Linked DNA regions of Lonchura striata. The protein of the gene in region 1 interacts with the protein of each later gene in a biochemical or structural test. Links are inferred from orthologs where the notes say so. Each region holds a gene or a part of one and is shown on either strand. Other genes may lie near its edges.

Region 1 (3,905 bases):
GTGCTGTCAAGACTATAATGAGGGGATGGCCTCTTTGAACAGACAATAATAATCCCATGTAACCCATTTCCTACGCACTCTCTCCTCCTGATCCTTGGAGAAGTGGGTGGCCATGGTAACGTGGGGTATGGAGAAGACTCCTGCGGCTGGAAAGATGAGAGAAAAACAATTATTAGGAACCTCAAGCTAGGCAGTAAGAGTGTGTTAGAGGGGGCAAGGCTGAGCCTAACTGATCTTTGACAGCGGGACAACCATGACACCCCTGAACATCCCCAGTCCTGCTGCGCCTACAGGTCCGGCCCGGGAGGAGGCCGCGGCCGCGGGTCACCGCAGCATGAGCACCCCCAGGCTGCCGCCCTCCTCCTCATCACCATTACCACCCTCCTCCTCCTCCTCCTTCCCCTCCCATCCCTCAGGGCCACTCGGCCGCCGCACCCGCGGGGCGCACAGCGATCAACCGGGCCGGGCCCACGGCCTGCGCCACGCCGAGCCTGCCCAGCGCCGCCCACATCGCTCCGGCCGAGCCGCAGGGGCGGCTCCGCCCCACGGCCGCGCCGCCTCCGCCGGCACGGCGGCTCCGCCTCGGGGCGGCATTGGCGGTACCGCCTCAGCCTCGGCGGCTCCGCCTCGCGGGCGAAATGGCGGATGCCCACACGGCGGTATCGCCTCACAGAACACGGCGGTAATGCCGCACACAACATGGCGGCCATGCCCCACACGACACGGCGGCCCCGCCCCACACAACATGGCGGCCGCTCCGCGCGCGCGGGTGGGCGGAACCCCCTCCATGGTCCCGGCCCAGAACATTCCGCACAGGGGGCGGGGCTTAGGGGCGGGACCCGCCCCGCGCATGCTCCCCGCGGCCCCCACGCAGGCGCAGCAGCGCCGGGCAGGGCGAGGCGCGCGGTTGGGTGGCCCCGCCCCCGCCCCCCTCTCCCCCTTTGTCCGCGGTTGGGCGCCATTTTGCGCGGCGGGCGAGTGCGGGCGCTGATTGGACTTGGGGGCCGCGCGGCGGAGCCAATCAGCGCGGGGCGCGGACCGGGCAGCGCGGCACGGTGAGCGCGAGCGGCCAATATGGAGCCCCCGCGCGCCGGGATTGGCGGGGCCGCGGCCACTCAGGGGCTGAGGGGGGAACCGGGGCCGGGCCGGGCCGAGCGGGGCCGCGGCCACTCAGGGGCTGAGGGGGGAACCGGGGCCGGGCCGGGCCGAGCGGGGCCGCGGCCACTCAGGGGCTGAGGGGGGAACCGGGGCCGGGCCGGGCCGAGCGGGGCTGCGGCCACTCAGGGGCTGAGGGGGGAACCGGGGCCGGGCCGGGCCGAGCGGGGCCGCGGCCACTCAGGGGCTGAGGGGGGAACCGGGGCCGAGCGGGGCCGAGCGGGGCTGCGGCCACTCAGGGGCTGAGGGGAGAACCGGGGCCGAGCGGGGCCGAGCGGGGCTGCGGCCACTCAGGGGCTGAGGGGGGAACCGGGGCCGAGCCGGGCCGAGCGGGGTCGCGGCCGCTCGGGGGCTGAGGGGGGAACCGGGGCCGGGAACACCGTGGCTGGCGGGGGCGCGGGGCCGAGCGCCGCAGCGGGGCCGGGCCGGTTCCCCCGGCGGGGCTCCGCCCTCCCCGGGAGCCTCCCCGCCGGTCCGGGCTACCCCGTCCGGTCCCAGATGTGTGGCGGCACGCGGTGCTCCGGTGGCAGGGCCGGCCCTTGGGGGAGCCGCGGGTTCGAGCACACCGGGATGACCCCCGGCTCACCGCTGGCTCCCACCGGCAGCTCCGCGTGTGGTGCCCAGCCCGCCCCCGTGTTAAATCCCGCTCCGGGGCTGTGGGCGTGCGGCTCTGCCCGGTCCGCAGCTCTGGACACGCTCCGAGTGATGCCGCGGAGCTCTCGGGCTGTTGGCGGCACTGGTTTGGTCTTGGTGTGGGTTGGGTGTTGAGGAAGTTGTTCCTGGTGCAGCTATATTTGTATAAATATAAATTATGTGTGTTATATATGTATATGTATAAATATTTGTGTGTATTTTTGGAGTTATCCTGTGCCGGGCCAGGAGTTTGATGATCCTAATAAGTCCTATACAACTCAGCAAATATATATCTATATATCTATCTATATATCTCTTTCTATATATTATATATATCCCTAAATATATATATATATATTTATTTTTATATATATATGGTGTCTATATAAATATCCACTGCTGGGACTGGAACACTCCCTGATTCCCAGAGCATTCCCAGTGAGGAGGAGCTGCCCATGAGCTCACTGAGGGAAGAGCTGTCATCCTCTGCCATTGATTCATCCCTGATCTTTAATATTTAATTTGGCTACTCCGTGTTTAACGAAGGGGATGAGATAATCCCTTGGATGGTGAGGATCCAGCACTGGCAGAACCTTGTCCATATCTTTAGGTTGCTGCTGCAGAGTGTTGGGATTACAGAGTTGTTAAATATTTTACTTAAAAATTTTAATTTAAGGCAGAAATGAAGTACCCACTGTGAAATTGAAATGAGAATCTAGCAGCAGCGTTTTCAGAAAGAGTATTTATCTTCTTTTATTCTGGCTGTGAAAAAGTCTCAGGAAATGGGCAAAGGATGGAACTCAAACAGCAGCAGTAACCACAGCAACGGGTACAGAGAGTCTGTGACTTAATCCTGCCAGCATTCCTTGAAAAATTGAAGCAGCCAGAGGTTTTGTTGCTTTAGACTTGGAAAATTAAAGTTCCAGGCTGTGTTTTCTTTCAGCAGTGCAGCAGGAACTTGTTCAGTCATGGCATAAATCAAACACCTCACTAAAGCAGGAATTCTGCTGTTGTAGGGCCAGTGAGGAGAGAAGTAGTGGCAGGAAAAGTTGTTTTTATTTCAGCACAGTGGGGTTGATGTGTCCAGGGAAAGGGCCAAGGAGTGAGAGGATGGAGGTGCTGGGAAATCTGCTGGTGCTTCCCAAAATACATGAAGGTTGTATTTGAGTATAGAAATACTTCTTTAGAGAAGAAATTCCTCCCTGTGAGGATGGGGAGGCCCTGGGTTAGGAACTGTGGCTGCCCCTGGATCCCTGGAAGTGTCCAAGGCCAGGTTAGATCAACCTGGGGGTGGCACTGGATGATCCTTAATGACCATTCCATGAGAGTAGGAGGAGAGGGAAGAAAAATGAGGAGAGAAGTCTTCACAGCTCTGCTGAATTCTTGAAGTGCAGTTCAATTTCACACCTAAATGTTGCATTTCCTGAGGTTTTCCAGCAGTGACACTCCCCTGTGTGGGCACCTGGCTGCAGCCCAGGATGTGCAGACTCACAGAGCTGGTAGAGTCCACGAAATTGGGCCAGAATTGAGCTGGTTTTGCTGCTCACTCAGCTTGGATGGGCCTGAAATGCCACCTCTGTTTATCACTGAGATGGAGCAGCTCTGGGAGAGCCCTGCCCTGGGGCAGCTCCTGCTTGGCTTGGCTTGGCTTGGAGCTGCTGGGGGACAGTGGGGATGGCCAGGCCTGGGGGCAGCAGCTCCCCTGATTTTTGCTGTCTTGCAGGGCCTGAGGCACCATGGAGCAGTACACAGCCAACAGCAGCAGCTCCACGGAGCAGATCGTGGTGCAGGCGGGGCAGATCCAGCAGCAGGTATGGCATGGGGGAATGGGGGAGCCCTGTGCACCCCACAGTGGGGATAAACCCCAAAGATTTCCTGTAATTCCAAGGAAGTGAGGGTTCTGAGGTCTTCCCTGAGGAGAGGTGGTGCCAGAGCCTGAGCTTGGACAGTGGGACCTTCTCAGCTGGGATTGAAAAGGGACAAGATTGGCACTGAGGGATCCAATTTTTTCTTCACCTGTGAACAAAAGCACAGGGAAACCCAGGAGCCATGTGGATCCAAACAGCAACACATCCCAGTTTGGAAAGAATTGGTTTCAGCAGCACAATCCTGATCCT
Region 2 (3,905 bases), on another chromosome or scaffold:
AAGGGAAAATGGGACTAAACTGAAAATTGCATCACTTGTTTACAAGTCCCTGACAACTCAGAAGCAAACCATCTTGGACATTTATGGATCAATGACCCTGCATCTAAAGCACAAGGAGAGGGAATATTGACCATTTACATACAGAAGAGAACAGCATGTCCATGCACTCAGCTAAAAATTTTCAAAACACACCCTCATGCCATGACTGTTATCACACAGGATTTTAACTGATCATTCTGAAAATTTTACAGCAAGCTCAGGATTTATAAAAATTAGAAAACATAACAATACTGAATTTGTACAATGAAATCTTTACTACACTTCAGCTTGGTAGATAAAGAGAAGCTGCTCACCAAAATAAAAGTTAGCCATAGCTTAGCTGCAAGTGATTGTGCCTTGGTTGTATTTATTATTCACGAACAAAAAAAAAAACCCCACAGGTAATGTGTACTTGGTTCTTTAAAAATTCCAGCTTCATTAAACTGCAAAAAATCCTGAACTCAGACTTAAGCAAAGAATGTGACTTCAAAGATGAACGACTGTTTTTCAAGTAAGACTCTTCTGAAGTTACACATAAACAAACGGGTCACCAATCACAACTAGATGAGAAAGTTAACCCAAAAATTAAACCTTTCCCTCAGACTACATATAAACAAATCGTGGGAAACCCAGGGGAAAATCTCAGCCATAGCAATAAGCTTAACTGAAATGCTACAGACGGCCCAGTGAAGCAAAAGACACAAGAAACAGCCTTCTGGGTACATTAGGAACAAAAGGAATCCTAGCAGTATTACAAAGTCCATTATTTGACCGAAATTCTTCAGTGTGGAGAATCTAAAAAAAGGAGCACTGTTCAACACATAGCTCTAAGTCCCCAACGGTAAGCATCATGATAAACTTTGTGATAAATATTGTCTATTCCTGTAATAAACAACAGCAGTTAAGGCTAGATATCGGGACACTGGATCCAGCTAAAGCACTCACATCAAGAATGTGTTGCAAGAGACGAAATAATCCAGAACAGAGCCATAAGAAACATTAAGAAAGTAGAAAAGTAAGGCTCACAAAGAAAACCTCTACCTCAAAGTACTAACTTTGGGGACATTCATAGTAAACATTACCCAAATACCATAGCAGAGGGCTTTTCAGTCTAGCCAAGATACAAGAACCACTAGCCTAAATTTAAAAGCAAATAATTTCAGTTAAACAAAATGGCATCTACTTCTAATCCGCTCAGGGGAATTCATTTAACACCACCAGTGGAATTGACTGCCTCGCTGGCAATGTTTAAAGAAAGTAACAAAAGGGTTTCTAAATTATGCATTTTTGCTCCAAGAGGTCTTAATTTAGGGCAGTCCTCTAGTCTACATCACACAGGTTGTTTTAAACAGGGTTTCTCTAAGTACTCACAAGCTTTCTTTTTTTTGGCATGAAATCCTTCTGAAGAAAAACAAAAAACAGACCACTGGTGAAAACCAACAGCACAGCTTTTAAAATTCCCCTCTCACTGCTATGTTTGAGGGAATATTTGTTTTCATGTACCAAGCTTCATAACAAAATCCACTTTTTATTTACACAATGCTTATATGCACTTTGAAATGCTCAATATATTCTCTATGCAAGTCTTATTTTAAGAGTAAGCGGCAGCTATGTCAGCTTGCAGATCAAGGCATCTCAGCCTTCACTATTTTACATGACATTCTACACAGTAAACTTCCCCATCTTTCCATTAACTATCTAACCTACCAAGCAGCTCAGAAATAAAGTGCAAGTACCTACCAGATAACATTCACTACTGCAGACACTCTGAGCCCTTTCAGAAATCCAGAACTGCCTCCATTACATGGTTTACTGAAGTTGATGTTGGTTTCCAGTGCTGCACATCCTGATACAGGGGAGAGCTGAGCATCAGAACGCACCCGAAAACCCAGGCACCCCCAGAGGAGCACACCAGACGTCTTCCCCAACTTTGCCTGCACATACACTGTACTGCTGCTTCATGCTCGCCCCCGCACCGCAACGCCACGGGATGCAAGATAACTCCGGAGCCAGAACTTCATGGCTCGCTGCCTACCGTCAGTCTGTCAGTCCGTCCGCGCTCCGGAACGCCAGCGGTGACAGCGGGCAGGAACTCGCCGGCTCCTCTGGGCGCGCCGGGATTGAACTTCTCGATTCTCCGTTCTGACTGACGAGTCAGACGGATTTTCCTCCGCCCCGAGGCGAGCAAAGCCCCGTGCAGGCTCCCGGCACGGGGTGGAGGAAGGAAAAGGGGAGAGGAGCTCGTCCTCAGAGGGGTCTGACCCCACTGCGGGCCGGGTCGGAGGGCACGCACAGCCCACTTCCAAGGGATGCCACGGCTCTGCCGCCGCCCCCGGCGGGCGATGACCCCCGGCCGCGGGGGCAGCGCCGCCGCCAGACAATGGGGAGGCGGGCGGGCGCGGCCGCCCCACCGCGCCCACCCCGCGGGCGCCGTCCCCGCGGGCCCGGCCCGCCCGCCTCCGCCGGCCGGAGCCGCCCCCGCCCCGGGGCAGCAGCGCCGTCCCGTCCCCGCCGGAGGAGCGCCCGGCCCGCTCCCGGGGGCAGCGGGGGCGGGCGCAGGGCGGGCCGCCGCGGGCGGCGGGGTCACCCTCCCGGCGCCGAGAGCCCCCTCAGCGAGTCCCTACCTGCCGGCGCCGTCCGCCTCGCCCCCTCAGCCCGCGCCGCCGCCCGCCCGCCGCCTGCGCTCACGGCCGCGCCGCCATCTTGCGCTTCACAAACTACTGCACTTCTTTCGGGGCGGGGGGGCGGCGGATGGGCCGGGAGCTCCCAACGCCGCGGCCGCCCGCGCCCTCGCCTCGCCCCGCGGCGCTCACTCGCATCCTCCCGGCGCGGCGCTGTCCCGGGGCGGGAGCGCGGCGAGCGCGGTCGGCGCGGCCGCTGCCTCAGCCGCCCTGGCAGCGAGCGGGGGCGGAGCCGCTCCCGCCGCCCCGCCCGGCAGGCGGCGGACACCGGGCGCGGGGCTGCCCCGGCACCGCAGCGCCGCAGCCCGGGGACACCGGCGCTTCCTCGGCGGCCCGGGGAGGAGCGGGGCCGGCGGGGTGCGAGCTCCCGGGCGGCAGCCGCTCCTCCGCTGGCAAACTTGGGCTCCGCGGTCGGCGCTCCTGCCGCGCCCGGGACGGGCTGTAGGGACGGCATCGCCCCCAGCCCGGGAAGGGTTTTCCTGCCGCTCCCGCCCGGAGCTGCCGCCGTGGGAGGGCACGGCCGCAGGGTCCCGAGACTCAAGCCAGGGCGAGTGAAGACAGAAGTAGCGGCTCTAACGAAAAAAACCTTTCTCACACCTTGGGTTGTTGGGTTTTTTTGTTAGAGAGCTTGGAGAAAGGAGACTCTCTCCTTTTACTACATACAAAAATATTTTAATCAAAGTTGGGTTTAACTCTCACTGCCCAGTTCTCAAAAATGTTGTTTCCCTACACTATTTTTCTTGTCATTTTGTGCTATTTTGGGTCAGACAAAATGTGACGCTTTCCCCAATAAAGTAAAAAGAAAGATGTGACTTGTGAGGAAAACTTAACTGTTCACAGGTGGACACAGAAGATAAAATTTACACAGTTGGGAAGCTTTTTAAAAATCTGCCTAGGTACAGGATCCTGTCGAGCCTAGTGACAGGAATACATTTGCTCAAAACAGAAGTTTTGATCTCAGGAATGTTTCTGGTTCTTCAATTCCATATTGTCAGTTTTCAGAATAGTGCTCTTAGGGGATGCACTCAAGCTGCCTGCCCCAAGTCACATTGAAATTGGTGAGAGCAGACAAGGAGGAGACCAAGTTAAGGACATTAGTTCAGTTATTACATTTCCAATGTCATAAAGTGCATTAAAATGTAATTTTTTTTTCCTTTCTCCTGACCTCCTTTGCTGTGTACTCCA

What was found.
Region 2: the proteins of NFYA (region 1) and ZHX1 form a complex in vitro, tested with the Homo sapiens proteins (2 studies listed by BioGRID). The link is inferred for Lonchura striata from reciprocal best matches to the Homo sapiens genes NFYA and ZHX1.

What each region holds. Positions count from the first base shown.
Region 1 is NC_134632.1:3,937,863-3,941,767, reverse strand, and holds the start of NFYA (nuclear transcription factor Y subunit alpha), read left to right. Parts: upstream 1-945; 5' UTR 946-1,055; intron 1,056-3,511; 5' UTR 3,512-3,524; coding exon 3,525-3,599; intron 3,600-3,905. Other genes in the region: ADP-ribose glycohydrolase OARD1, read right to left, coding at 79-146, 436-511. UniProt on the Homo sapiens protein: Component of the sequence-specific heterotrimeric transcription factor (NF-Y) which specifically recognizes a 5'-CCAAT-3' box motif found in the promoters of its target genes.
Region 2 is NC_134603.1:12,595,897-12,599,801, reverse strand, and holds the start of ZHX1 (zinc fingers and homeoboxes protein 1), read right to left. Parts: upstream 2,774-3,905; 5' UTR 2,664-2,773; intron 2,315-2,663; exon of another isoform or gene 1,780-2,314; intron 1-1,779. UniProt on the Homo sapiens protein: Acts as a transcriptional repressor. Increases DNMT3B-mediated repressive transcriptional activity when DNMT3B is tethered to DNA. May link molecule between DNMT3B and other co-repressor proteins.